4 linked regions of the Lonchura striata genome follow. The protein of the gene in region 3 interacts with the protein of the main gene of each other region in a pairwise test. Links are inferred from orthologs where the notes say so. Each region holds a gene or a part of one and is shown on either strand. Other genes may lie near its edges. The genes, in order: DTX2, surfactant protein C, SEC22A and TMEM79.

The links.
Region 1: the proteins of SEC22A (region 3) and DTX2 interact in binary tests that used the Homo sapiens proteins (3 or more experiments, as listed by UniProt). The two-hybrid records come from large-scale screens. The link is inferred for Lonchura striata from reciprocal best matches to the Homo sapiens genes SEC22A and DTX2.
Region 2: the proteins of SEC22A (region 3) and surfactant protein C interact in binary tests that used the Homo sapiens proteins (3 or more experiments, as listed by UniProt). The two-hybrid records come from large-scale screens. The link is inferred for Lonchura striata from reciprocal best matches to the Homo sapiens genes SEC22A and SFTPC.
Region 4: the proteins of SEC22A (region 3) and TMEM79 interact in binary tests that used the Homo sapiens proteins (3 or more experiments, as listed by UniProt). The two-hybrid records come from large-scale screens. The link is inferred for Lonchura striata from reciprocal best matches to the Homo sapiens genes SEC22A and TMEM79.

The regions. Positions count from the first base shown.
Region 1 is NC_134622.1:5,678,997-5,686,557, forward strand, and holds the start of DTX2 (putative E3 ubiquitin-protein ligase DTX2), read right to left. Parts: upstream 3,012-7,561; 5' UTR 2,959-3,011; intron 1-2,958. UniProt on the Homo sapiens protein: Regulator of Notch signaling, a signaling pathway involved in cell-cell communications that regulates a broad spectrum of cell-fate determinations.
Region 2 is NC_134634.1:3,610,538-3,617,487, reverse strand, and holds surfactant protein C, read left to right. Parts: upstream 1-4,106; 5' UTR 4,107-4,121; coding exon 4,122-4,166; intron 4,167-4,267; coding exon 4,268-4,417; intron 4,418-4,535; coding exon 4,536-4,676; intron 4,677-5,323; coding exon 5,324-5,434; intron 5,435-5,601; exon of another isoform or gene 5,602-6,068; coding exon 6,069-6,170; 3' UTR 6,171-6,438; downstream 6,439-6,950. Other genes in the region: LGI3 (leucine-rich repeat LGI family member 3), read right to left, coding at 6-77, 174-245, 3,001-3,221. UniProt on the Homo sapiens protein: Pulmonary surfactant associated proteins promote alveolar stability by lowering the surface tension at the air-liquid interface in the peripheral air spaces.
Region 3 is NC_134610.1:10,875,863-10,883,099, forward strand, and holds the start of SEC22A (vesicle-trafficking protein SEC22a), read right to left. Parts: upstream 3,002-7,237; 5' UTR 2,930-3,001; intron 2,648-2,929; exon of another isoform or gene 2,457-2,647; intron 1-2,456. UniProt on the Homo sapiens protein: May be involved in vesicle transport between the ER and the Golgi complex.
Region 4 is NC_134635.1:1,095,550-1,103,511, forward strand, and holds TMEM79 (transmembrane protein 79), read right to left. Parts: upstream 3,009-7,962; 5' UTR 2,914-3,008; intron 2,095-2,913; 5' UTR 1,991-2,094; coding exon 1,261-1,990; intron 1,054-1,260; coding exon 840-1,053; intron 616-839; coding exon 411-615; 3' UTR 106-410; downstream 1-105. Other genes in the region: nonsense-mediated mRNA decay factor SMG5, read left to right, coding at 3,957-4,033.

The sequences.
Region 1 (7,561 bases), on a different chromosome or scaffold from region 3:
CTACCCTGGTCTCTGGTATTAATCTTTTCCTTGTAATCCATTCTTGCCTAACACACCAAGGACAGTTAGTTCACTGCTCAAAACAGCAAATTACGACTCAAGGTATCAAATCCAACACCTGCCTCTGCCACTTCTTTTAAGGCAGGTTTCACACCAACACTTTTCCAGCTCAAGGATCAGCAGCATCATCCATGCTCGACTCAGAGCAGGAGCCAGGCTGTGGCATTTTCTGTCCCACCCACCTGCACTAGGTGCTCTGAACCCCAAATATACAGAACCAACACTGTTTCCCCCCCCAAAGTTATTACCAAATATTCATCTGCAGCCACACGCAGAGCAGAGAAGAGGGAGGCTGTGAGAAGGGAGTCAGCGGTTCGTTTTCCTTCCTTTCTGAAACAGCAGCAGGAAGTGCAGACAAGCAGACACCGCAGCAGAAAAGCCACCTCCTTCCCGTGCCACCTTACACTCGCTGGGACAACAGCTGGGTGACAACAGCCTGTCCCTCACGCCGGGGTGGCAGCAGTGCTGTGAATCCTGGACCACATGTGAAGATACCCGGGCTGGCTGCACGAGCGTCGCGTGCTCCAACATCCACTTCCCCATCAGAGTGGAAAAATATTTCCTGTGCTGGGACTGCTGCTCCAAAGGAGGAGCGAGGGGCGTATTTCAGCCTCTTGCCAGTTCTTGCTGAAAGCTGCTGGAGCCAGCAGCTGTTTGCACAGATTGGGAAGTGAGGAATGCACGAGAGCATCAGTAAACCAGAATTACACAAGTCCTGGAGTTATGGGAAACTAAAAAGAAAAGGCCTAAAGTTACAGTTCCTGATTTCTCTTTGAGAATTCAGCAGCACACAAACAGTAAAAGCTGAGAAATTCAAAACTAGAGCTGCTTGTACAGTGTTCTGCATTACACCGCAGCAGAAAGGGTTTGGGGAAGAGTGGGATGTGGTTTGGGATGTGTTACACATCCCAGCTCACATCTTTACTCAAATCCTATGGAGTAGAACACTTCATCTCAAGCTTTAAAAATACCTTGAAAAGCTGAAATTCACATCAACCCTAAAAGCTCTAGTCATGGCTCTAGCCAGAAATCCTCTGGGCCACCCTTCCTCCAGTGAAAACAAAACCCTGGCTAATTCAAGTGCAGACTTAAATATACCCAGATGCCCTTCAGAAGGTATTTGGTAACACAGGCTCAGAGCTCGAAGATGGACTTGTTTGATTGGAACTTTATGCCCAGCACAACCTCTGAAACATTTGTCCACATGGCTTTAATTGGGGACTTGGACAGGAAAAAAACAATGCATTTCAGATGTGTTTTCCAGCAGCTTCACTCCCTGCTCTTCAAACTCCAGCAAATGGTGGTGAGAAAGCTGGAGAACAGGAATTAAAACCTTTGAAAGCTGTGTTTAATTCTCTGTTCTACTTCCAGAAAGCAGAATTTTCTTTCTCTTTAAATGCAGGATCTTAAAATTCATGGGTCTGAGATGATTTCTAAAAATGCCAACTCCTTTTGTTAAGTTTCTCAACTTGAATTGCCACCGCTGATAAAAGTTATCACAAAATGTGACATTGTACCTGGAAAAGAAAAAGAGCCTTGGGAGCTCTTTAGCTGGGCTGAATTAGAAATAAAAATCATCAGACTGGTAAAATAGAGACTTTTCAGCAGGTTGTTCAGAAAAGAGAGAGCCCAAGAAGGATCTTTAAACATCTTAGAGTCAGGACTGGGAGGGCACCAAAGATCCCATGGGAAGAGATTACACAGGGATTAGGGGAGCACATAAAGCACAGTGAGGCCACAGGGCTGCAGTAAGACGGGGCATGACTGGAACAGCATTACAAGTGCCCGGTGTCCTCCCCCGACCCCAAACCAGGGCTCCCACACCAGCTGCGCTGCACCTCCGGGCACAGCAAAACCCGATGCAACAGGGTTGGCAGCTGTTGCCAGGTAATTCATACCCAAACACTTCTTTCCTTACACAAGCACCCAGCACCAACCAAAGAGAAAGAACAGAGCTCGGCAGCAGGGAAGGGTCACAGTAATAACTCCAAGCACGCAGACCCATCCCAGTCCTGCCCTCTCCCAGCCTCTGCTGATCCTCACGGCACAAGGTGGCTGGGTTAACAGCCAAAACAACAAGAAATAAACCCGGCTGCTCCAAACCTGGACTGCTTCCATTCAAAACAAGCTTTTAAGCAAGTTCCCCTCGGAGGGGGAAAATACAGACGGCAACTGAGGCGGAACAAAGCGTTTCCCTGTCAGCTAAGCCGAGGGCTGGTTTCGGGCATGGGTGAATTGAAAAACGGAGGCAGCGAGAGGAAAGCAGCTACACTCAGACACAGGATCCCACCTGGACACGGGATCTGAGCACACTTTGCGTCCAACCCGACTACTCCTGGCTCCTTCTGGGCACCCAGGCGGGTCATTTATTCGCGGGGAGACCACTGACTAGTGAGTGAGAAGCTGGCACGATCTGGAGGGCTCCTCCAGCGCCCCAGCGCCTTCGGCCCGTGGCAGGAGCTCCGGAAGGTCCCGCCCGCGGAGCCGGCGGCTCGGGGCCCCCCGCCCCTCAGGGAGCCCCGGGCAGCACCGGCCGCCCACCGCAGCCGCCTGCTGGCTCCCGGTACCACGGACACCGTCGGACCCCACGCGTGCCGGGGGGTGTCCGGGCGACACCGAGCGCCCCGGGAGCTGCGGAGGGGCGGGGGCCTGCTGCGAGGGGAGCAGCGGCCGTGCCTCCGGGCCGCCAGGCAGGCCGGGCCCGGAGCGGCCGCAACGGCCCGGGCGGTCCGTCGCGAACGGCCCGGGCTGAGCGGCACAGAGCACGGGGTGCCGGGGGTGCCAGCCAGCGGGTGCCCGCCTCGCGAAGCACAGCACAACCCAACCCAGCCCAGCTCCCCGTCCCGGCGCCGCCGTGCCCCGGTCCCGTCGCCCCTCAGCCGCCCCCCGGCCCCTCACCCCGAGCAGGGCCCGCCGCTGCCGCTCCCGGCCCGCGGTCACGGAGCCTCTGCGCATGCGCACGCCAGCCAGCCGCGGGGCGGGCGGGGGCGGGGCCGGGGGCGGGGCCAGGCGGGGAGGGAGGGACGTGATTGGTGGAGGCGTGAGGGCGAGGAACGGCGAGCGCGAGGCGGGGTGGGACCGGGGTGGTAATGAGTGTGGTAATTAATGTGATAACGAGTGTGGTAATGAGTGTGATAACGAGTGTGGTAATGGTGTGATAGAGTGTGAGTGTGCGGGACCGAGTGAGTAATGAGTGTGGTAATGAGAGTGATAATTAATGTGATAACGAGTGTGTGGGACCGAGTGAGTAATGAGTGTGTAATGAGTGTGATAATTAATGTGATAACGAGTGTGGTAATGAGTGTGATAACGAGTGTGTGGGACCGAGTGAGTAATGAGTGTGGTAATGAGTGTGATAATTAATGTGATAATGAGTGTGGTAATGAGTGTGATAATGAATATGGTAATGAGTGTGATAATGAGTGTGATAAAGAGTGTGAGTGTGTCGTAATGAGTGTGATAACGAGTGTGGTAATGGTGTGATAGAGTGTGAGTGTGCGGGACCGGGTGTGGTAATGAGTGTGATAATGAGTGTGATTATGAGTATGGCAATGGGTGCGATAATGAGTGTGATAATGAACGTGATAGTGTGAGAGTGCAGAACCCCAGTGTGGTAATGAATATGGTAATGAATGTGGTAATGTGTGATAATTAGTATGGTAATAAGTGTGATAATGAGTATGGTAATGAGTGTGATAATGAGTGTGATAGAGTGTGAATGTGATAAAGAGTGTGAGTGTGCGGGACTGAGTGTGGTAATGAGTGTGATAGTAAATATGTCAATAAGTGATTATGGTAATAAGTGTGATAGTGTGAGTGTGCAGGACTGAGTGTGGTAATGAGCATGATAATGAATATGGGAATGAGTGTGATAATGAGTATGGTAATGAGTGTGAGTGTGCAGGACCAAGGGTGGTAATGAGTGTGTGATAATGATAATGAGCATGTGTGTTACTGTGTGACAGCACGAGTGGCAGCGTGTGAGAGTGTGACTGTGTATGTGACAGTGTGTGTGTGATATTGTGTCACAATGAGTGTGAACAGATGTGGGAAAGTGTGTAAGTGACAGTGACAGTGTGAGAGAGAACTGGCAGTGTGTATGTGGGGCAGCGAGTGTGAGAGTGTCTGTGATGGTGTGGGGTGTGTGAGAGTGTGTGTGGCAGTGTGCACGAGTGTGATACCGTCCATGTGAGTGTGATATGGTCTGTGTGAGTGTGATACCGTCTGTGTGAGTGTGATAACACCCGTGTGAGTGTGATAACACCCGTGTGAGTGTGAGCATGTGTAGTACTGGGGTGTGAGATGCTCTGTGTGTGCAGGGGATTGTGAGTGTGAGTGTGCCCGTGTGTGTGTGTGTTGCACACCACCAGTGCACCCTCTCCTCCAGTTTAGCACCTCTGGGTGCCGGGCATGGGAGCTCCTGTAGGAACGTGGGTGTGACCCTTGGAGCCACATCCAGCCTGCATGAATCAGCTGCTCAGCACCTTGAGGGTTTCCTTTACATCCAAGTAACTCCAGAGCCGAGCCGTGGAGATGCCTGCTCCCTGGCTGGGGTGAGGATGCTGGAACACAGCCCTGTGTGCCACAGATCTCTCCGAGGACATAGCGCTGCTCCTTCCCAGCTGCTGCACCTCCATCGCCACCCTTGCAAGAGCTGTGTGTTTATTTCGGGATTCCTTTGATCCTGGAGCATCTTGGAGGGTGCTGCATCACTTCTTCATGCTCTCTTAGAGGTAGGTCAGACCCCACCTGGGTTTTTCCCTTTCCTGGGACCCCCACCAAGACCTCAGCAGCAGTGGTTAAAGAACCACAGAACCAGAGAATCATTTAGGTTCAGAAAGACCCTTAAGATCACTATAATTCCTTCTGAACCAGGAAGTGTTCACCAATTCTTATCAAATTATTTGTAACCTCCCTGGACTTTACACCCAGCAGCACTGATTCACCCATGACATGATACACCTGCCCTAAAAGTCTTATAAAATAAAGAACATTATGTTTGGAGTCAATAGTTACAGCAAAAAAAATAACATACAGAACCACTACATACTGTAGGAATAGAGGGATATTATAAAACTCTTCTTCCAGGATTCAATATGTGAGACTCATCTTCACAGACCCTGAATAAAGTTGGTTTTCATCCCAAAATGTACAGTGGCAAGCACATAACCATGACAGCTCCAATGAAAACCCTCTGGAGCTGCATCCCCCCACAGCTCAGCCTTGTATGCAAATGCCCATGGATTTCTCTGCTCCAGGACGGATGAGACTGTCACACACTTGAGTTCAAAATACTCACAAAGTACTAATAATTGCCAGAAGTGATTGATAGCCTGCTTGCAATGTGTCTGCTAAAGCAATAAGTTTCACATTTACAACTCAGGTGCTTGGGATTCCTGTCTCCTGTGGCTGTAATTAGAAACTGGAGAGCAATGCAAAGGGTTTTTTTTCCTAAAAAATAGATAGGGATGCTTCATAAAGCCATGCTGGGAGCAGACTATGTGATCCATGTGGTTGCATGGGTGGGCAGGTATGAAATGTCCTATGATCCTAAATAGAAAAATGTTTCAGGGAGTTTTGAGAATGGTGAAGAAGGGTTTCTGTCCAGTCTTGCAGACCTTCATGGCATGGCTGGGAGATAAAGGGATGCTCCCAGTGAGGAATCCTGGCTGGGAGAGGATGGGTGAGGCCTCAGGGTGATGCTCCGAGGCTGAAGGTGCTACTGATATGGGCTGCAGGGTGGGGAAGAGCAGAGGTGAATTGGGTGCAGCTCCTGGGTGGAGGGAAGGGCAGTGTGGTGGAGATAAACCAGTCAGGTGGTGGCTGAGCTGTTGGAAGAGTCTTGAATTGCATTGGATTTATTTTTTTTTTCGTTTTGAGCAGGGATTCATGATCTGATCTTGCATAAGGGTCCCTGGAGGGTTTTGCCAGGCACAGAGAGTGGCTGAGGTACCTCATCTCAGCAGTACAAGTGCATGGCTGGTCCTCAGTCTCCCTTTTCTCACTCACACCTTTTCATCACTTGTCCCGCATTCCATGATGGTCCAACAACCTGAAAGGGGTTAACAGAGCCACGGGCAACATGAATCTGGGGTCTGGTGACCAGCTGAGCCTGTCAGACCCCACTGCACAACTTCCTCCAACATTTCTATCTTGTGAGGGTGACTGCAAAGATCTTCCCCGAGTCTGAAAGGTGAACCTCAATGTCCTGCTGTCCCTAAGGACCTGTGAAAACAAGGGATGCAGACCTCACAGTCCTCACTGCCTGCAAAAATATTTTATATTTTACATTATTTTTACCTTAATAATCCCCAGATTTTGTCCTTTATGCCTTTTTTTTTTTTTTTTTTTCAGCTGGATCCCTTCCTCCCCATGCTGTTCTTTCCTACACCCTTCTCTGCATGCACCCCAAATCAGTATGCAAAGCACTGAGTCCTCCAACAAGGCATCAACTCCTGTCTGATCCATCCACACACTGGGGTAACCAGCCAAATATTTGCCTTCCCCCAGCTCCTGTTCTTGCAGTGGTGCTGGAAGCCTTTTGAATTAATTTCTCTGTGGCTGCTCCCTCTCACACAAGGTCCTACACTAATGTCTACAAAATCTGATGCTTGAGGCTCTGTTAAATTGCCAGGCTTAGCCTGGTGCTCCAGGGAATAGCCTGGCCACTCAGGAAACTGCCTGTCCAAGCTCTGCTGGGATTGCTGCAGCACTTTGAATTCACAGCCCACTCGATTTCAGATTAATTTCCCTGAGCAGACAAACACAAAGTGACAGGAATTAGGAATAAATTCCTCTGCAGGCAAAGGATAATAGGTGAAATTTCATTTCATTCTCCTCTGCAGCAGCTGCTGCTGGTTCCTGCCAGGGACCCGAAAGACAAATAGGGATGGATCTGGTGTGTGCATTCCCCTCCTGCTGGGTGACTTTGCTGTCCAACCCTGGGATTTACCTGCTGAGAGGGACTTGTTCCTCATCCCTGCTGGTAGTGGGAGATGCCCCATGAGCTCAGCTCAGCTCTCTGTGTTCCACTGCCTGCCTTTTCAGAGGAAATTACAGAATCTTGAACAGTTTATGTTGGAAGGGACCAGCCCAGGTTGTTCCAACCCGCTGCTATGGGCAGGGAGACCTTCCACCATCCCAGGCTGCTCCAAGCCCCACCCAACCTAACCTTGAACACTTCCAGCATCCATATCTTCTCTGGGCAACCTGTGCCAGGGCCTCACCACACTCATCATAAAACATTCCTTCCTTATGTCAATCCTAAATTTACCATTCTCATTTGAAACCCCAGCCCCTTCTCCTGTCATCCTGACCCCAATCAAAAGGCTCTTTCCATCCCTGCCTTTGTTAAATCCAGCCAGGAAACTCTGGAGCCGAGTCCTCTGGTTTGTGTTTCTGTCTTACCTGCTCTGGCCACATTCACCTCACCACTAATGCTAATTAGGAGCAGAACTCATCCCGTTTTGCCTTCTGCCTGTTTTCCCCAGCGGAGATTTCC
Region 2 (6,950 bases), on a different chromosome or scaffold from region 3:
CGCACAGGTACTGCAGGTGCGGGAGCCCGGCGAAGGCGTTGTCCCCGATCAGCGAGAACTTGTTGGAGTTGAGGAGGCTGCAAAGAGAACGGGGGAGGAATCAGCGGCGGGCCCGGGCAAGGTGGGCACCGCGGTGGGCACCGAGCGGGGCACGGGGGGCACGGGGCACCTACAGGAACTGCAGGGAGGGGATGTGGGCGAAAGCCGCCTCCCGGATCTCCGTGAAGGCCGCGTTCACCATGGTCCTGCGGGAGAGACGGGGCTGCGGCACAGGGCACGGCCTGGCACGGCCACCGCCGTGCCCCCGGCGCGGGCTCCGTGTCACCGGGCATCGCAGAGGGACCCGGCGGCCGGCCTGGCCGGGGTGGGCACACGGAGGGGACGAACTGCGGGGGCTGGCACCCGAGCCGGGCCGGCACCCAGCCTGGGCTGGCACCCGAGCCGGGCTGGCACCCAACCTGGGCCGGCACCCAACCTGGGCCGGCACCCAACCTGGGCTGGCACCCGAGCCGGGCCGGCACCCAACCTGGGCTGGCACCCACGCATGGCATGGGGCCATGTGCACACACACGTGTGTGAGGGCACAGAATGGGTGTGTGAGTGCGTGCACACAGTGTAACACACACAAATGGGTGTGTGAGTATGTACACACAGTGTAACACACACAAATGGGTGTGTGAGTACGTACACACAGTGTAACACGCACAAACGGGTGTGTGAGTACGTACACACAGTGTAACACGCACAAAGGGGTGTGTGAGTATGTACACACAGTGTAACACGCACAAACGGGTGTGTGAGTACATACACACAGATGTAACATGCACTAAGGGATGTGTAAATACATACACACAGTGTAACACGCACAAATGGGTGTGTAAGCACACACAGACAGGTGTAACACATAAATGGGTGTGTGAGTACATGCACACAGTGTAACACGCACAAATGGGTGTGTAAGCACACACAGACAGGTGTAACACACACAAATGAGTGTGTAAGCACACACATACAGTGTAACACACAAATGGGTGTGTGAGTACGTGCACACAGTGTAACACACAAAGACAGGTGTGTGAGTACATACACACAGGTGTAACACACACAAACGAGTGTGTAAGCACACACACACGGGTGTAACACACCCAATCAGATGTGTAAGCACAAACACAGTGTAACACACACAAATGAGTGTGTAAGCACACACACACGAGTGTAACACACCCAATCAGGTGTGTAAGCACACACACTGAGTAACACACCCCAGTCAGGTGTGTAAGCACACACACACAGTGTAACCCACACAATCAGCTGTGTAAGCACACGCACACTGAGTAACACACCCAATGAGGTGTGTAAGCACACACACAGGGGTGTAACACACCCTGTCAGGTGTGTAAGCACAGACAGGTGTAACACCACAAATGAGTGTGTAAGCACACACACACAGGGGTGTAACACACCCAGTCAGTTGTGTAAGCACACACACACAGTGTAACACACCCAATCAGGTGTGTATGCACACACACATGGGTGTAACACACTCAATCAGGTGTGTATGCACACACACATGGGTGTAACACACCCAGTCAGGTGTGTAAGCACAGACAGGTGTAACACCACAAATGAGTGTGTAAGCACACACACACATGGGTGTAACACACCCAATCAGTTGTGTAAGCACACACACACAGTGTAACACACACAATCAGGTGTGTAAGCACACACACACAGTGTAACACACCCAGTCAGGTGTTTTAGCACACACACACAGTGTAACACACACAAACGAGTGTGTAAGCACACACACACATGGGTGTAACACACCCAATCGGGTGTGTAAACACACAGACATGGGTGTAACACACCCAATGGGGTGTGTAAGCACAGACAGGTGTAACACCACAAATGAGTGTGTAAGCACACGCACACAGTGTAACACACCCAATCGGGTGTGTAAACACACAGACATGGTTGTCACACACCCAAACGAGCGTGCAAGCACACGCACACAGTGTCACACACCCAAACGAGCGTGCAAGCACACGCACTCAGTGCAAACACCGCCCCTGCCGCACACCCCCGCGCCGGGCTCCGCCGCGCCGCCCTGTCCCCCACCACGCCCCGCTTGGGGACACGGTGGCCAAGGTCACCGCCGCGTCCCCCGCGCCGGCTCCGGTCCGTCCCCGGGCCGGCGGCGGGGACCGGCCGCGGCCGCGCTCGCCTTGGCCCCGCGGGACACGGCCACACGTCCCGGGATGTCCCCAGCGTCCCCCGGAGCCCCCCGCAGGGCCGCCCCCGTCCCCCCGGGACAGCCCCTGCCACCCCCGCGCTGCCCTGGCGTGTGACACCGCTGTCCCCACCGCCGTCCCCACCGCTGTCCCCATCTCTGTCCCCACCGCTGTCCCCACCGCTGTCCCCACCGCTGTCCCCATCTCTGTCCCCACCGCTGTCCCCACCGCCGTCCCCACCGCCGTCCCCACCGCTGTCCCCACCGCTGTCCCCACCGCTGTCCCCACCGCCATCCCCACCGCTGTCCCCACCGCTGTCCCCATCTCTGTCCCCACCGCTGTCCCCACCGCCGTCCCCACCGCTGTCCCCATCTCTGTCCCCACCGCTGTCCCCACCGCTGTCCCCACCGCCGTCCCCACCGCCGTCCCCACCGCTGTCCCCACCTCTGTCCCCACCGCTGTCCCCACCGCTGTCCCCACCGCTGTCCCCACCGCTGTCCCCATCTCTGTCCCCACCGCTGTCCCCACCGCTGTCCCCATCTCTGTCCCCACCGCTGTCCCCACCTCTGTCCCCACCGCTGTCCCCACCGCCGTCCCCACCGCCGTCCCCACCGCTGTCCCCACCGCTGTCCCCATCTCTGTCCCCACCGCCGTCCCCACCGCTGTCCCCATCTCTGTCCCCATCTCTGTCCCCACCGCTGTCCCCACCTCTGTCCCCACCGCCGTCCCCACCGCTGTCCCCACCGCTGTCCCCACCGCGGCTACTCACAGCGAGATGACCTCGGGGGGCAGGTTTTTGGGCACGGCCTTGGAGTCCACGCAAAAAGCCGTGTCGCGGGTGCAGGAGCAGCTCGGGGGGCACGGGGGAGGCCGCGGGGGCCGCCGCCCCTCCGCCGGCAGGCAGAGGAAGGCCACGGCGAGGAGGAGGAGGAGGAGGAGGAGGCGAGCGGGGAGCTGCTCCCTCGGCATCCTGCCGCGCCGCAGCTCCATCGCTCCCCAGCCTGATCCCTGCTCCCAACGCCGCTGTGCCCGGCAGCTGTGGAAAAAAATCTTTATTTTCCTCTCTTTTTTTTATTTTTATTCCCCCGAGGATCTCAGCGTGGAGGAGAAGCGGCGGAGCCTGCCTGACCCGCGGCTCTGCAGCACATCATGCCCGGTGCTGCGGGAGGGAGGGAGGGAAAGAGGGAGGGAGGGAGGGAGGGATGCGGCTGAGTGACATCGCCAGCATCCCCGTGCACGCGTGTCCGTGCGCGCGTGTCCCCGGCAGCGACCACCCTCGGGGCTCCACGCCGCGGGTGGGAGCGGCCCCCGGGCTGCTTTTGGGGTGCGCAGAACTGGGGAGGGGGGACACGCCAGGGGTGATGCCCCCGCAGTGGCTCCCCCAGCTCGGCGCCGCAGCGCTGCCCGCTGCGGCCGCAGCGCGCTGGGCAGCGATCCACGCCGCCCCGGGCACCCGGCCGTCCCTGGCACACATCTCTCCCGTGCCAGGCGTCCATCTGCGCCCGGCCTGGCACGGAGCCTGCGGGAACAATGAGTCCAGCCAGCTCCTTCCCCACCCCGGGGGGGGGGCTCGCACAGCTGCCCGTGCAGAACCAGGGGTGCAGCCCCCCTCTCCCGGGACCTGCTGGAACCCCTCTGCCGCAATCCCGGGATGGGTGTGGAGGGAGGGCACTGCCCGCTGTTTGCCTTGGCACCCCCACAGCGCTGGCGGGCAAATGGCACGGAAGGGCCCTCGGAGGCTTCTTGTCCCCTCCCTGGCTCTTGTGCGCGCTCAGCAAACAGCACAAGCGGCACTCGGCAGCTGGAGTGGCCCCAGCCTTCCCCGGCCGCCCGGGATCCTATAAATACCCCCGGGCCCGCGCTGGCAAAGGGACAGGAGCGCACGGGGAGATGGACGAGAGCTCCAAAGAGGCGCTGATGGAGGAGGCACCTCCGGTAAGGAGCACCCAGCACCCACGCTGGGCGCGGGGCTGAGTCCCCGGTGCCCCGCGGTGCTGGCGGCTCAGCCGGGCGCTCCCCCGTGTTCCCCCCACCAGAGGTACACGGAGTCCCCGCGCCTGCCCTGCATCCCCCACGAGCTCAAGAGCCTCTTGTTGATGGTGGCCCTGGTGGTGGTGGCCCTCGTGGTGGTCAACGTCGCCTTCCTCCTGCTGGGGCTGCGCCTCAGCGAGTCCCACGCCGAGACGGTGAGGGCAGGAAGGGACCGCGGTGCCACCGGCGCCGGGAAGGGGTTGGGATGGCACCGCGGCTTTGTGGGGAGGGGGCTCAGCCCCCTGAGCCCCCTGAGCCCTCTGCCCCCGGCAGGTGTTGCGAATGACCACCCACGGGCTGGATGGCGACGGGAGCCCGCAGCAGCTCGCCGTGAGCAAGAAGGAGCGGAGCGGGACGTTCGCGGTGCGGGACGGGCACAACGGCTCGGCCGCGGTGGTGTACGACTACGGCAAGGTGCGGGGGCACCGCGGGAGCGGCGGGGCGGCCCCGGGGCCGTGCCGAGCCGAGCCGGCTCTGTAGGGAGCGCTGGGCTCCAGGAGGGTTTGGATGGGTGGAGACGAGAGATCTCTGGAGGCTGCTCTTGGGATATCAGGTTTATTAGGGATGGAGAAAGGTCTTGCTTGGAGCTGCCCGGCGCAGCACGGGGCAAGGCCTGAGGGGATGGGGAGGGGAGAGACAAGAGGATGCTCCAGGAGAGGGTGGGAGTTCCAAGAGAGCCGGGATTCCAAGAGAGAGGAGTTCCAAGAGAGGAGAAGAAGAAGAAGAAGAGGAGGAGTTCCAAGAGAGCGTCCGGCCCCTCAGACACCCCTTATCAGGTGGTTCAAGGTGGGCTGGAACAAGATTTGGGCCAATGGGGTCACAGACACCTGATGCATCAGGGGAGGGTTACAGGTGTGGGATGAACATTTTGGGGGTTGAGATGGAACAGTCCATTTGACTTTTGGACCTACCTGTAGGTAAGGGTGTTGTCCATCCAGTAGGGAGGATTGTTTTCATCCTGGCTGTACTATAGTGAATCTTCTGCCAGGCAATTCTATTTATCCATCCTTCCCAACATTTATTTCCGATATTTATCCATCCTTTCCTCTGTCTGCCAACAGCTGCTGGTGGGATACAGGTCCTGGCGCCGCCGCGCCTGCCTCATCACCCGCCTGGACAAGGACAACTTGCCGGGGCTGGACGCTGTCACCGAGACCTTCCAGCGCCGGCAGGTGAGCGGTGACCACTGAGGGAGTGGAGCCGCACTGGGCTCAGCACAGCCCAGCCCTTGGGAAATGTGGGGCTGGGGGCTTGTCCCCTCTGGAGGGGACACTGTGGCTGCCGAGAATTGTAAATGCAGGCGAAGCCAATGGGAAGAAATGACCATGTCTGACTCAAGTCAGAAGGATGAATGATTTCTTTATTAAAACTATGCTAAAATACATCAATATACTATATAAAAGGAGGATACTAAAACTACACACTACTTTCTCTGATTTTAACTCTAACACCCTCTCTGAGAGTCCAGCCCCAGGTGGGTTGGATTGGATTGGGTTGGATTGGGTTGGATTGGATTGGATTGGATTGGATTGGATTGGATTGGATTGGATTGGATTGGGTTGGGTTGGGTTGGGTTGGGTTGGATTGGCCACCAGGCTCAAACAATCCTCACCAGAATCCAACCAAGCACTCACCCCAGGTAAACAATCCTCCAAACACATTCCACATGGGAAAACCAAGGAGCAGAAACAGAAATTGTTTTCTCTTTCATTTCTCTTTGTGCTCCTCTATGAAATTCCTGAGAGGGAGAGAACTTTGCCTGCCCCAGCCGCGGGTGGCAGCTCTGCTCCGTGCTCTGTCCTGCAGGATGAGGACGTTGGGGACAAGGCCATGCCCCTGACTGACCGCTCCATCCTGGGCACCACCATCAACATCCTCTGCAGCGCCGTGCCCGTGTTCTGGGTGTAGCAGCAGCTCCCAGCGGGATGCGACAGCCACGCGGGGATGTCACCGTCCCCCACGCCGCCTTCCAGGAGGGACAGCTGGGAACGCTTCCTCCTCCTCCTCCTCCTCCTCTTCCTCATCCCCATCCCGGGGACAGCCACCCCGCCCCGGGGGTGCTGCATCCGCTGTCGCTTGGCACTGCGGCTTTCCCCCTGCTGTCTCCCTAAAAAAAAGTGGGATTTGCTTTGGGATTTGCTTCTGTCTACAAAGTAAAGCCTGTGTTCACCTCCAAGCGTGCTCTTGCCCTTCCTGGGTGCTGGGGACAGGGACACGGTGTCCCAAGGGTGTCCCTTTGCAGGGTGCAGGGTGGGGAGGGGAATCACTCACGTTGGGAGGGATCAAACACGGGGAGGCAGCAGCAGAAGTGCACACGATGCTCCCATTGTCCCCATCCCTCATATTGTCCCCACCTGTGTCCTCCTATTGTCCCCAACTGTGTCCCTCCAGTGTCCCCATCCATGTCATCCCAGTGGCCCCACCAGTGTCCTCCTATTGTCCCCAACTGTGTCCCCCCAGTGTCTCCACCTGTGCCCTCCTATTGTCCCCAACTGTGTCCTCCTATTGTCCCCAACTGTGTCCCCCCATTGTCCCCACCTGTGTCCCCCCAGTGTCCCCCAGTGTCCCCACCTGTGTTCCCCCAGTGTCCCCCCATTGTCCCCACCTGTGTCCCCCCAGTGTCCCCCCAGTGTCCCCAACTGTGTCCCCCCATTGTCCCCACCTGTGTCCCCCCAGTGTCTCCAGCTA
Region 3 (7,237 bases):
TACATGTTCAATCTCATCGTACTTGCTTTGCTCCTACAACTGAAAACAAAGAACATAAATACCACTAACAACAGCATGTATGCACAGACAACAGACAAAACAAATGATAAAGACATGTTCAGAGGTATTCTTTCAATTTTTATGTCTAATCTGTATGTAAATAAATATTTGCATAAATCTTGAACACAACTTTCTTTAAGACTCCTGCTTACATTCAGAGAAAAACAGGCTCTATAACAGAAGATAAGCCTCTACTGAAACCTGCCAATTCTCTTCATATATGACAAAATCACGCAAGGTAGAAATTGTGCTGAGCTGAAGATCCTAACACCAGTTAGGTTTTGTTACCATCATCTTAAAAACCCACCCAGTGAAAATATGAACTTTTTTCTCAGCCTCCTAACAGCAGAATCAGAAAACTATCTAAAAACCAAAGCTAATAAATTACTTTGGCTGGAAGATCATATGTATGTCAAGAAATGTATAATACACGTACTGTAACAGAACATTCAGCCTTACCTGAAAATGTATTATCAAAGAAAGAAAGTTTATTAAATCTATTTTATCCAGCTCTCAAAACTATACAGCTTTACACAAAGAGCTAAGTGGTAAATTTGATATGCACTTATATATTTAGAGACTGAAGAAAGACAAATATGCTTTTAGAGTTACTTCTAAATGTCTTTTTGAAACATCTATTCAAAGCTGCATTAAGTAATTCACCAAATTGTTACAAATTTCATACATTTTCCTCCAAAAATTATGTATCCCTCAACCACCTGAAGATGACAAAAGACTGCACTTTCACTACAAATGGCCTATGAATTTCTTATAGGTGCCAGGAAATGAACAGATTGGGTTCACGGCCTCATTCCATGACAGAACTGTGGAATACCAAATCCAACCAGCAGCTGTTTGGGTCACAGGTATCACAGAGGATCCAAAACTTGTCACCAGCCAGTGGAACCCCTTTGTCACAGGCTGCTTAAGAAGCAACTGGAAAAGTTCACAGAAAAACTACCTGGGATACTAAAAGCAAGTCATAACCTTTTGCTCAGAGGGATTCTGACCCCCACACAAACACCAACAGGGAAAGTACCTCACAGAAGCAGCACTCCATGCTTGCACCATTCTTGTTTCCCTTAGCTAGTATTTACTTCTGCCCCATTGTTGTTGATTTTCCTTTTACAGCCCTCCCCACAAATGAGAGGACTCATGGAAAAGAGGAGCATGGAGAAAGCTGGCCACAGACAGGTAAGAGGGAGCAGGGTGGATATTCCTCTGTTACTGCACGTTCCCAAGAGCTGTCCAATTCCTCCTGCACATGTCAGTATCCACTGTTTCAGAACTAGCAATCAGCACATGTGCCTGGTTTCATTTCCTCCCATGAACAAGAAACCTCAGGTGACAGAAACCAGAGCCTGTTTCACTGTACTTGTTTTTTTTTAAGCCATATTCAATTATCATGTTGTTTATTTCAGTGTTACGATGGTACCTAATCCACAGCATCTACAGAAGTCCTAGAAACACTGAAAACGGAGAGTGGAGCATTCTAGCCTTTTGTAACAAATTCATCATCTAACTTGTGATCTGACAGTTAATTGTTTTAAACATATCTGACATAGTCTTGTAACACTTTTAACAAGTGTTTGAAAGTGACTTGTGACTATGATTTGCTCAGGATGCTTCACTTAAAAAAAACTCTAGCTTTCTCAAAATTCTGACCAGATCGAGTGTAATGGCAAGCTTACCCTCCTGCACCTGATAACCTTCAGCCAATTTAATCACCGCATTTCTTGTTGGGATGTCTGCCTCTCATAAAACCTTTCCATAATATATAAAACTGGGAAGGTATGCAAGCTGAACTCCTGTCTGACACAGAATACAGATAAAACTTCTGTGCTTACATAAAACACATACCTAACACTGTTGGACAATTTATTGTCCCCACTTCTGAGGGTTGTGACAGCTGCATTATACAGGAGGGAGCTTAATTTTTTCATACTACATAATACTTCAGAAATTCATATCACAAACTGGAGCACTACAGAAGGACACAACAAACAAAGCTACTTTGACATCATCGGGTATGATAAGACAAGGGAATAATCCTAAATCACCAGCCAATATAATAATTCTTTCCAAAAAGTCAGGGGGAAAGAGATCTCAGAGGCAGAATCAAGATTCGCAGAATCAATGAGGTTGGAAAACACCTGAGATCTTCGAGTCCAACCTGTGACTGGACACCACTACCGGGTGCCACGTCCAGTCTTTCCTTAACAGGTGGCTCCAGGCACAGTGACTCCACCACCTCCCTGGGATCCCAATCCAATATATAATCACCCCTTCGGAAGAAATTCCTCCTAACGTCCAAACAATTCTGACAAGCTAAGGGAACGGAACGAGTTGCACCCCAGAGTTTGGGAGCCTGACCCTTTCGCCTAGCACCTACTTACGTGGCAGCTCGGGCACGGCCCCCAGCGGCCGCAGCAGCCGCGCTGACTCGGCGGTCACCGACTCGGGCGGACCCGCACCGCTCCAGCTCACACAACTTCACAACCCTCCCGCCTGCGGAGCGGCGGAACCCCTGCGCACGGCGGGCTCTGCTACCGAGCGGCGCTTGCCAGGAGCCCCGAGCGGCCCTGGCTGCCTCCCGCACCCCCCGAGACGGCGGCGGCCCCGCGCCGACCGCGGCTGAGGCGCGAACGCAGCCGGCCGGGAGGCTCCGCGGCCGGGCCTGGGGCCGGCAGGGGCGGGCAGGCGGAAGGGGAAGGGAGCGAGGAGAAGCGAGGCGGCGGCGGGGCAGTGCGGGCAGGGCAGGGCAGGGCGCAGGGCAGGGCAGTGCGGGCGGGCGGCGGCTCCGGGCGCGGATCCCGCCCCGCCCGCGGCCCTCAGGGCGCCGGCCGCGCGCGGGGGGCGCGAGCCGTACCTGGCAGCGGGGCGGCGGCGGCGCGCGGTCCCGCCGGGCATTGTGGGAGCGGACACGGCCGCGTGCGCCGCAGCGCCCCCGCGCGGGGCGGGGCGGGGCCGCCCTGAGGGGACTCCGGGCGCCGCCGCCCTCAGGGGTCGCGGCGGGCCCCGCTGTCAGCCCTGCCCCGCGCCCCGCCGTCAGCCCTGGGCGGCCGCCCTGCCCCGGGCCCCGCTGTCAGCCCTGCCCCGCGCCCCGCTGTCAGCCGTGCCCCGCGCCCCGCCGTCAGCCCTGCCCCGGGCCCCGCCGTCAGCCGTGCCCCGGGCCCCGCCGTCAGCCCTGCCCCGCGCCCCGCCGTCAGCCGTGCCCCGGGCCCCGCCGTCAGCCGTGCCCCGGGCCAAGGGAACGCCGCCCTTGCGTGGCGGGATGCCGCAGCCAGACTCCGGGACTCCCGGGCCCGGATCGCGGCCGCGGGTGTGTCTCACCGCCCGGGCGGCAGCAGCCGAGCACCGCCGGCGCTGTCTCGCACAGCCTCGTCTGAGGCTGAATTTATCATAGAATCACCCAGGTTGGAAAATATCTCCGGGATGATAGGGGCCAACCTATGACTCGACACTATCCTGTCAACCAGAGGTGGGCACCGAGTGCACATCCAGTCTTTATTTAAACACCTCCAAGGATGGTGACTCCACGGCTTCCCTGGGCAGCTCAGTCCAGTGTCAAACCACCCACTGTGAAGAAACGGCTTCCTAATGATCCATCTGAGCCTCCCCTGGTGCACCTTGCGATTCTCCTCCTGTCTGTGCCCGGGGCGAAGAGCCCGACCCCGCCTGTCCCAGGGAGCTGCAGGGAGCGGTACATGAGCCCCGAGCCTCCCCTCCTCCGGGACAGCTCGCTCTGCTGTCAGCACAGCTCAGCTTTAGGAGCTGTGCGCTTTGGGCTCTCCCGTGTAATAACTTCTGACAGCTGCTGGCTGGTGTCCGCCAGGTTTAATGGATCACACAGCCCTTGGCATGTGCCTGGCACTGTGTGGGTAACCAGGTAGGTTCGGGGTCCTGTGCTGGGGCAGTGAGCGTGGCTGCTGGCACCTGTGTGATAGGGACAGAATAGCCACCAGCAAAAGTGCACTGAGATGAGACCAGATGCTAGGCTAATCTCACTCATTTCCCAAGAAATTAACTGGGCATGTTTCAACAATAAATGACAATACAAAAGTGAAAGTTTGCAAACTCATTAGTAACCCTAGAGTGAGGTTCCTATTTTAAATGTTTTTCTACTGATACAAGGATAATTTTCTCACTGTATCACTCTTTGACTTCACTGTTTTCATACCAAATCACACCATTTTAGTCTGTTGGCTCAAATCTGAAATGAAAGCAGTTTATTTCCTCACTAACGCCTTTTAATTTCTCCTTCCATCTGTTACTACTTCACTTATCCAAGTGCCTGTAGCACAGCAGTATTGGGACAGAGGTAACACACCTCACACTCTGGACTCTCAGGCTCTGCTGAGCCCTACTCAGGAGCAAGGCAATCAGGAAGATGGTGTTGGAGAAAATCAACGGTCTCCAACCTCAACTCTTACTTCTCCAAGCAATTTTATGCAGACACCTATGGCACCCCTGGATATCAGAGGGGCATTGCCTCACTCCATATTCCAGTGATCCAAGTGAGGAAAAACAATCTCTTAGATCTTAGAACGTGGAGTAAATTGCTATTGCTGGAGATTAATTGTACCCTTTCAGCCTCCAGGCTTTCTTCTCTGTCTTCAAGCAAAGCTCAGCCAAGCCAAGGGTTCGATCTCCCTGAGTCAAGCAAGACCACAGCAAGGGATACAAGATTAATTGTGGTTCTGGGGCTGAGTAACAGAGGGGGAAACTGGCAAAAAGGGAAAAAGGGAAAAATTGTTTCTAGAGCAGACTCGAGACAGGAAAGTGGTGAAGAGGGGAGTCAGAAGATGGGGCTGGCATGGAGATGTGGGAGGGGAAGGAAGGAGCAGGTGAGCAGAGGGGCAACAGCAGGAGAGTCACCTGCTTGATGAGGTTGTTTTTCTGTGAACTTAAAAGCTCAAGAAAAAGTGATGGGAGTCTTTCCTAAGCATCCTTCTCTCACTGCAAGCTGACTGTTGATGGGAGCTGCCAAGGATGTGCACCATGAACGGGTCTTGCTAAAGCCTTGCAAGGGATGGAACATCTGCATGTTTGAATATACAACTTGGCATCTGCAAGTAAGTATCTTGGCCTGTCAGGAAAAACTGTTCCCAGTCAGGCTTTTGTAGAGTGGAGCATGGGAACATCTCAATCCTGACTGACTATGCAGAAGTAAAGCACATGTTCAGAAGATGATACATTAATCTGAATAATTTCCAGAGAGTCCTTATCCTGTATAAACAGAGTGCACGGTATTACAAGCTGCTGCACAGTTTAACAGCTTATGATAGCATCTACTATAATGCAGAGAACTAGTGATTACTTAATTAGAGGCTGTCTAAAGGTTTGTGATAAGTGCATACATGTGCAATTTTATTTTTTCTACTTCTTCTGAACTGTTTATCTTTCAACACTAAAATTCTCTTAACCTTTTGTAAATGTTTTAAAGAAAAAAGATAAGCATTCTTCATTTACATAAACAGGATTTCAAGTATTGTATACACATCTATTAGTTAAGACTCCTAGGGGAAAAACCGACATTATTCTTTATTTTCAGGTGAACCTGGCCCCAAGAGGTTAAATAAATCACACAAGGTCACTTGAGGGAGGTAGCGGCAGAGTCAGAAATGAGGTTACAACTCCAACCCTCCCAGCTCTCATGGTGAACTTAAATCATATCTGTTATTCAAGAATTTGCATGGCTAACAAGCCAGTTACACTTTAAATTGTGTCTTTTCCTTGTCCCATTGACTCCCCTAAGACACGGAAGCAGTAAAACATTGTCAGAGGGGCAGCGTGCAGTGAATGCATTAGTGAAAGCTGCAGCCAGAGATAAAACATTCCTAAGAAGTAAATCCAGTCAGTGCAAAGGGAAGCCATAGTGGAGGAATGAGGTGTTTCAGAATGAGGAGGAGAGATGAGGAGACAAGAGAGGTGTGGATGGTGTCAGAGGTTGAAGGGAGAGCGGGATGGGAAGGATGGGTGACAAAGGAGTGCCCATGGTGCCAGCCCCCTCAGAAATGCCAATGAGGGGCCTCTACATGAGCAAAACAGAGAAGCCATTACTTGCCAAGTGTGTCATCAGCCAGCTGAAAGCAAAGCCTAGCAGCAAATGCTTGGAGATGAGTTAGGACAGGATTTACCTCACAGATGTTCAGTGATCTGGAAATTGCCCTCTGTGAAGAAGCTCTGTGTTGCTATTTCTCCTCAGTCATTGCAGGGAGCAGACATGTCCAGCTGCATTTATGCACCTTGGCTTTGGATGACTTAAGGTAGGGAAGACAAACCTTTAGGCTCTGTCCACTGGATTTAAACATGACTTTAAAATCAGGTTTCCCCAAGGAAAAACACCAGCCTGAGGAGCTGGCAGTAGTTGTGTTCATCAGTGCTGGAGTCACAGGAGCAACAATAAAGGTTCTGAAAGGAAAATTCATACTCAGGGTTTTTTGCAAAAGAAAACACTTTTCTGTTTACTACACGTTTCTCATTATATTGCTCCTTTCTCTGTACCATTTTTTTTCCCTTATATCTTCCTTAAAGTTTGGTGCTTGAAGCTGGAGGTATTATTCAAGCTGAGGCTTTAACCAGACTAACAACCATTAATATGCTTCCTGTTTCTTGGATAGTAATGTCAATTCCCAGGAAAAAACAGGTATGTTGAATTGGTGCATTCAGGTGGAGTGCAGCCCAGCTGCATCACGAGGCCTTTGCACTCCGAATCAGGCTGCTGAAATCATGGCACTAGCTAAAAGCCCATGACTTTCTAACAATTTTGCACTCTAAAAAACTGCATTTGATTTTAGAGGTTTTAGAGAAACCTGTGTCCATAATCGCAAGAGCAAGGATTATGCTCACTGCAATGAACTGTTCTTGCTAACACAGCATCAGCAGAAGTGTGAGCAAGGTCATAAAAATCATCAGCAGATTATGCAGTTTATTTCCTCACTTCTCTTTTTAAAAACCTCCTCTGCTGATTCAGTCTTAAGGTCCTGTGCTGGGCCCAAAAGTTTCTTTCCTGGAGCACTAGTATTTAATTCTCAAGGGCTTTGCAAGACTGAAGCAACCTCGTAATGTCACAGAAAGTCTCTCACTGGCAATAAATGCAGCTGTTAGAACAAAATACAGCATTGTCCCAATGGCTCTTGTTGCAGCAGGGCCCAGTATGATCTCCTGCATAAAG
Region 4 (7,962 bases), on a different chromosome or scaffold from region 3:
CTCTTGGAAACATAATTTTGAGGCTGGATGATTACATCCTGTAGGCAAAGCTCTGAGTCATTCTTTGGGGAATTTAACTCACCCTCTGCAAACCAGCCACAGAGCTGCTTGTTAAGGGCTTTATTGGGCAAAGTTGGCTCCAGCAGGAGAGGAAGCAAATCCCACCCCATTCCCAGGGAAGAGCGCTTGCATTGTCCTGCTCTGGCCCTTCTTCAGCTGCAGCAGGAGTCTCGTGGTGCAGAGGGTTTGTAGCCTGGCTCGGTGGGCCCAGCAAAACCTCCCTGTGTCCAGGCAGGGAGCGGGGGCCCAGCTGGATGTGCCAGCACCCCTGTGCTGTCAGGGCTCTTGAGGCAGTGCATGAAGGAGGGCTCAGACTCGTAGGGTGCAGGCGCCCCATCTCCTGGCCTCCCTCAGCCCCAGTGCCGGAGTTTAGCTCGGCTCTCCTTGGAGTGGCCCTCGGGCGTTGGCGTTGCCAAGGACAGGAGGTTCTCGGGCTCCAGGATGAACATGCCATACAGGTTCCAGAGCAGCATGGCCAGGAGCGGCAGGAAGGTCATGCTGAAGCCAAAGGCACGGAAGGAGCGGCCGATGGCGTAGGACATCCAGAAAATCAGCCTGGAGAAGGCAGAGGGTGCGGGCTCAGCCAGGGTGATGCTGTGGGGCTGGCACTCACTGGTTCTGACCAGTGGGGATTTCCCAGGCATGGCTGCCGTAGGAAGAGGAACCCTTCCTGGCTTTGGGGAGCTGCGTAAGGTGCTGCCACAGTGGGAGTTTGCTCCAAGGCACGGTGCTGGCTGGCACTGACAGAGCCAGCAGCCTGGGGTGAAGGAGCCACTTACCGGGAGATGGCGAAGAGCCCTGTGAGCAGTGGGATGAGCTTGAGGAGCTCCTGTGGGAGGTAGGTGGCCAGCACAGCCATGTTGAAGAAGTAGAGGATGAAGAGATGGACAGACTGGGAGACGTAAGTGCGGTGGATCTCCACCTCCTGGTGGAGCTCTCCAAAGGGCTCCAGGGCGGAGGAGCAGAGGCGGGAGATGCCACTGACGATTATTCCTGAGGGACAGAGAGAGAGGCTCAGTGGATGCCCAGTGGAGCCACGGTGGGGTTTGGGTAGAAGCAGGAGGGGAGAAAATCTCCATTTGCTGCTCCTGGTGGGAGCAACAGAGCCACAAAGAGCTCAGCCCCACTCTGCTCCTGCAGCCCCAGGCTCACGTAGCCCAGAGCAGGAGTAAAGCACTCATACCCAAGCCCATGGCTCACCCAGCACGATGGGGAAGGTGGCAAAGGTGGCACAGCGCAATGTGTAGACCAGGCGGGCGCTGACGGTGGGCAGCAGTGGGGCATCGAAGGGCAAGAAGATGTAGGCACCATAGATGAGGCAAGGGCAGAGGAGAAGGGCTCCTGCCACTGATGCCACAGCCTTGAGATTATCAGTGCCACAGTCCCTGGCACACGGGCACCGTGACCCCTCAGCCGGGGGCTTGGCCATGTGCCCCTCAAAGCCCAGTGGGTTCCGGCAGCGCGAGGGGCCAACGGGGAGGAAGACCTGCTTGTGGTGGAGGCTGCTGGGTCTGTCACTGGGGGGGACGCTGGGGGGAACATCCCCCCTGCTCTCCTCCCGGGGCCATGGGGTTGGGTGCTGCTTCTGCTTGATGGGACTCTGCTCGATGCACTGCGGGTCGATGGGCACAAAGACGTGGGCCGCCATCACGGGCAGCCGGGGCACTTCCTCATCTTCAGCCTCGACTGTGGGGCAGGTGGGAGCAGCTTCCTCTGGGTCTTCATGGCCACCCTCAGGACTCGAGCGCCTCTTTGTCTCCACGAGCTCCGGCTGGCCCCAGGCATTGTGCTGACTCTGGTCCCATGGCAGGGTGGAATCAGGGTCCCCCTGGTGCTCACCTGGGGCTGGTGGCACCTTGGCCAGGGCCACCTTCCCCAGCTCCAGCAGAGCCACCTCCTCAGGGGGCTGGACAGGGTCTGCAGCAGCCATGAGAGTGTCCAGCTCCACACTGCCAGGGATGGGGGTTGGTAACACTGCTGCCTGCACTTGTGGTGTTCAGAGGGGATAAAGTTCCTGTCCTTTCTGCTTTCACCCTGGACCAGGAGAAAGGAGACAGATAAATTTACATCAGAAATGAGAGGTTTGGGGTCACATGCACAGCACCAGTTACAAAGTGGGAGCAAACTGGCAGCCCTGGAGCCCCCACTACCCGGCTGTCCTTGCACTAGGAGGGGAAAGCAGTGCCTGGTGTCCCTGTGCTCTGGCCCCTGGCAGCAGGGTCAGGTACTGTCCTGGGAGGGGTGAACTCTGGAGGTGTAGGTCTGGCTGCAAAACAGGGCTGCCTAGGAATAACTTCAACATCCTGGGGGTTCTAGCTGGGCACAACCCAGCAGATACAACTGGCTCCTTGGTGGCTCTCTCCCGGGCCAGGACCAGCCAAGCCCTGGGGAGAGGTGACCTAGCTGCTTCCCAGAACCATGGCTACAGCGGGCACGGGCCAGGTTTGCTGCCTCTTGTAGCTGAGACTGATGTGGGGTGGACAAAAGTGGCTGCTGGGTGCCCTTCCATGGGTGCAGGAGGTACGGGCAGAGCTCCATGTTGTTACCCTTAGGGAAACCTTGTCTCTTGGCCCGTCCTCAGTGTCCTGCCTGCCTCCTGCAATGAACGTTTCTCCTTCGCTCCTCTCAGCACATTGATCCCTGCACCCTCAGGAACTTGGCCTGGCCACAGGTGTGGGGAAACTGAGGCACGGAGCCGCTTGGGGCTTCCTCCGCGACCCACACACGGAACTAGGGCTGAAACAGCTTCCCAGGTTTCCCGTGCCTCCAGCGCCCGGTCCCGGAGCCCAGCCCCTCTGGCAGCCCCCAGCCCCGCTTCCCCCGGGCAGCGCCTCCCCTCGCGGCAGCACTCACTCGGGCTCGGGCGGGGGGCCATGGGGGCAGCTCTGCGGGACCCTGCGGGATTCCAGCGCTCTCCCGGCGCCTCCGCGCCGCGAACCTGCCGAACCGGCTCAGGTGGGGCGGGCGGAGGGGCGGGCGCTCCGCCCGTCCCAGCCCGGCGTGGCCCCGGGGGCTCGGCGGAGGGGACGGGGCGAGCCCGGCGCTGTCCCCCGTGGCAGGCGGGGGACCCCCGGCTCCCTGTGGGCCGCTCGGGGCGTGCCAAGTTAAAGAGCTCTCTAAACACACAGAGAGTTTAAAAAGGGGACGGACAAGTCAGCCCTTGCTCATTCTGCGAGGGTGCGAGGTGGAGCTTTCCACAAATCAAGCGCACCAAGGGTAACACGAAGTTACACCTTCTATACAGTAAAATTTACATTAACCCGTCTAATACACATCACCGCCCACCTAAAGAACATTTATGTATCGTAACCTAACACAATGCTTGAAATACAAAGTCGTTTTATTTTGAGCAACTTTTCTTACAGAAGTTACGTGACGGCACAGTTACGTTTACAGAAGGTGAGAAGGTTCAGCATGAAGACACCACTGCGGGAGCCGCGGCCCCACAGGACCCGCCGGGATGCCTGGCCAGTCCCTCGGGATCCCAGAGCGCGGGGAGGAATTCCTGCGCCGTCGCCCCCGCTCCCGACCCCACAGCCAGGCGGGGTGCTCTGGTGCAGCGCTCGACCCGGGCACCGGGCGGCACCGGGCCCGCCCCGGCACCGGGCCCGCCCCGGCACCGCGCCCGCCCCGGCACCGGGCCCGCCCGCCTGAGGCGGCCGCCGCCATGTTGCCAGCACTAAGTGCGGGCCTCTCGCGCGAGCTGGCTCTCGCGAGACCAGGTCGCCCCCGCCGCCGCCCTGCCCGCCCGGCGCGGCGCGGCCGCGGGAAATCTCGCGAGAGCAGTGAGGGCCAGGGGGCAGCCATGGCGGCCGAGCGGGCCCGGGGGCGGCGGCGGCGGCGGCGCGGGCGGTGCTGAGGGGCCGCGGGGCCGGGCCGGGCCTGCCGCGGGCGCCATGAGCCAGGGTGGCGGGGCCGCCGGCGAGAGCGGCGAGCCGGAGGCCAAGGTGCTGCACACCAAGCGGCTGTACCGGTGAGCAGAGGGGCCGGAGGGGATGCGGTGGCCGAGAAGGGGAGCGGGCTGGCGGACACCGGGGGCAGCCGGTGTCGGGAAGGGGCCGGGGCGGCTCCCGGTGAGGCTGGGGAGGGCCGGCGTGGAGACGGTCGGGGGGTTACTCAGGGGGACGGGGGGTAACTGGGGGTGCCCGAGGAGAGCAGAGGGAGAATGGGGCTGGGCAGCGTCCGGCGGGGACTGGGGGTGACGGCAGCGAAGGGGATTGGGGCGGGGGAGCTTGGGCGAGCCTGGCGAGGAGCAGGGTGAAGGAGGTGGCGGGATATAGGGAAGATGGAAGGAAAGGAGATGAGGGAGTTGTCAGGGAAGGATTCGGGGGGAAGGAGATGGTGGAATCGAGGTAACAGCAGGGATTGATGGAGCGGGGTGGGGAGGGGGCTCCTGAATCCAGGGGAATCCGGGGGAGACTGGGAGAACGAGGGCGAAGGGAATTGGAGGGCTATTCAGAGAAGATGGGGAAAGGAGATTATGGAATTTAGGGAAGACTGAAGTGAAGTTGTGGGGAAATCCAGGGAAAGGATGCAGTGCAAAGGGAGAGGAGAGGGAGGAGGTTTAGGGAAGACCAGGGAAAGGCAATGTGTGGAAGGGAGTTGTATGAGATCCAGAGGGGATAAGCAACACATGGAGGGGTTCCACTGGGGAAAAGGAGTCTGGTGGCTTCAGGGCAGATTAGTCAGACCAAGGGACTGGGGGAAGGAGCTGTGGGAGATCCAGGTAAGATGGGAGAATGGAGAGATAGGGGAAGGAGATAGGTGGGAGACCAGGAAGGGGGTAAGGGGACACCCAGGATAATGAGTAAGGACATGGGGAGGTGGAAAAAGGGATTCAGTGGGATTCAGAGAGAATGGTGGGGGCTGAGTGGAAAGGAGTTGTTGGGATACAGTGGGATAAGGGTGAGATGTGGGGTCATCCAGAGAGAGAGGGGTTGGAGAGGGTGTCCCTGGCTTTGGTACTATGCAGGGATTATGTGAGAAGTGCTGGAGTGGGTGTGATGAGCAGGAGTGTGAGCTGGGACACTTTGCTATTGTGTGGAGGGCAAGACAGCTCCAGCTGCAGATCTTTCCAGTTAAGCACTCCCTGGGACTCTGGTCCCACATTTCTACACCATGCATTGGAAATGGCATCAGAGAACAGGACTGGGGCACTCCTGCTGGCCTTGGTGAGCTCAGGCCCCCTCTGCTCCTGATCTGTTTTGTGAGGGCAGCCCAGAAATTGTTCCTTTCTGGCTCAGATCCACAGGAGTTCCAGCAGCAGCTCTGGGTCTCAAAGATGAGCAAAATGATGGAGACAAGAGATGAATTTTACATGAGGGTCCATTTCTTTTTGTCTTGATGACATTGGCTGTGTCCTTGCACCTTGTGGGACCTCACTGCCTACCTCTACAGCAGGGCAGGGTTTTACCTTGTGATGGAGGTATAGGCTGCACAGTCCTGCCCAGAGCACCCCGGGCTGTGGGGCTCTGTGTCTGCTGCACCTTCAGTGATCTCCACCACATCTGCTGGAGGCTGAGCTAGAGCAGCAGAGCACTGTCCCTGCCCAAGGAGTGTGGGACAGGGCTGGAGAGGATGTGCAGGATGTGTGTGCTTCTGCCTTTGTTGAAACCCTCCTCGTTGTTGTTCAAGACCTGTTTTGCTTTGTTTTCCTGGTGCTGCTCAGCTCATCTGTCAAGTGGAACCTCACGTTCTGCTGCAGCCAGCAAGAGAACGGCCTGTGGCCAGATGAGGAATTGTCATCCCTGCAAGGGAGGGGTTGTTTTCTGTTTGAATTTTTGTAGCAGAATAAGGCGTGTAGTTGCTCTAGAGAGTTCTTACAGCAGAAAAAGAAGCACCCTCCTCCTGCAGGGACAGCTCTTCTTTAGCAGGGAGGAAGCATTGTGATTTTAGTGCAGGATTTATAGTACCTGCAGTGGCCACAAATTTCTATCCTTGTAGCTGACAGTTCTCTGAGCAGGTTCCCACCTTCACAGTCTCCTGTCAGTTCTCATCTGTTCCAGCCTGAAGTGGGAGTTTCCTGCCTGTTGTGTGGTGGCTGTGGTCTGAGAGCTCATGACTGTCCCACTAAGTGGCACCTTTGAGTCACAGATGCGTGAATGCCATAGTCCCAGCTCTAAACTGTGATCCCATGGGATCAGCGTGTTGTCAGCTTGTGGGAGCTGAGCTCAGGTCTCCAAGGTCCTTGGCAGCATGTTGGCTGTCAAGAGTGTCCTTTCAGAGAGGAAGGTGCCCATTGCTTCTCATAGGGTACTCTTTGATCTTTTCCAAGTCTTCCTAGATTGAGAGTTCCCAGGTTTCACCTTGAAATGTGGCAACTGCATTATAATGGGTGCACTTTTACAATGCTTGTTGTAGCGTAAGGTGACCAGGTTTATTTTACAGCTTTCTGGGTAACCATTAGCTCATGGACTCAGTGTTGCTGTTGTTTTGTGGAACCTGTTCCAGAAAGTGTACTGACACATGCCAGAGCACAGCTAAAAGACTTGCAGGTCTTTTCTCTTAATAATGTCTTACTCCTCAGATACTGTGGCTCTTAGTGATGTCCTAAATAAACAGAGGGGACAAATAATTCTCCCTGCTGTCCTGCTCCGTCCCAGAGTGTTAATTGCACGGAGGAAAAGGGGCTGATCAGTGTCTATATGGCTCGAGAAGACTTGGCATTAGCCTGTTTCCACCCTGCTTGGCACCATGTGCTGTATTTGTTTCTTTTAATAGACTGGCATCTGATGTGCCTCCTTTGTGGCTCTAATATACTGTCTGAAAGCAATGTTTAAACACAGCAGGTAGAAAAGTGGGTCCTGGGACAGGATTTCCGTTCTTAACTGCTAGGGAAAGTTCAACCTGTGGTCTTGGACAATTGAGGGCACAGATGCTAAAGTGCATTTCCAGCAGAGCATGGCCCATAGCAGCTGTGTTGGTGTTTCCCAGCATTTCTGGAGTGAGGCTGGCTCCTGTCCCTTTTGTCCTCACTGAGTCCTCTTTCCCCAGCACCACAGATGTGGGATCCTGGCAGGGAATCACCAGCTGTCACATTCTGCTTTACTCCTGCCTTCTTCTCTTCCAGCAGCACCACAGGGCCTGTGTGGATGTGCAGAAGGCAGTGTTTCAGCTGAGGCCTCCCTTAGGGCTGATGAAGTGTGACGCTTCATGACACACATCCTAGTGTCAGCCTTGCTGCTCTCTGGTCACAAACTCTGTTTCTTTACAAACACTGAAAGAACAGCAGAAATACCAAGTGTGTGCATGTGCCCATCCATGGGTTGTTGTATAAAATTAGGTTGTATGGCAGATACCCTCTGGGCCACCTTGATGGGAAGGTGATGTCCTTCTGTCCCCAGAAGGAAACTTTTTTGTACTTCTCATTTGGCAGGCCACTGGGATCATTTTCCACATTGGCTGTTATGGACACGTGTGCTTGTTTCAGATGCACACAGCTGAGATTTGTTGCCCACAGAATGTTATTTTACAGCTGCTTTACTGCTTATGTCAGGAATCAACTATTGTAGTTCTCTCTGGGAATCAAATGAACCAGCAGTTCCTCTTTCCCCTGGTCACCCTTTGTAGAGGAAGCCAGTCAGCTCCTGGTGTGCTGGAAGGGACTTTGAGAGCCACAGCTAGGACAGCAGTCTGAGGCTGTAGTAAGGAGAGGTGCATTGCCTGTGCTTTGTAGGGTTCTGTTGTGGGGAAGCTAAACTGGGGGCTTTTTGGGTTGTCCTAACCCAAATATGAGCTTGCATGGATGCTGCACACTCAGTGCCTGTTACCTGTAAACCAAAATGTATTTTACTTGCTTCTTTCCTGCTATGAGGGTATGAAGCTGTCAGAGTTTGCAAACACCTTTCAGGCCATATGAGAAAGAGGACAGTGAGCAGGAGGGGCTGGTTGTCAAGAATGTAA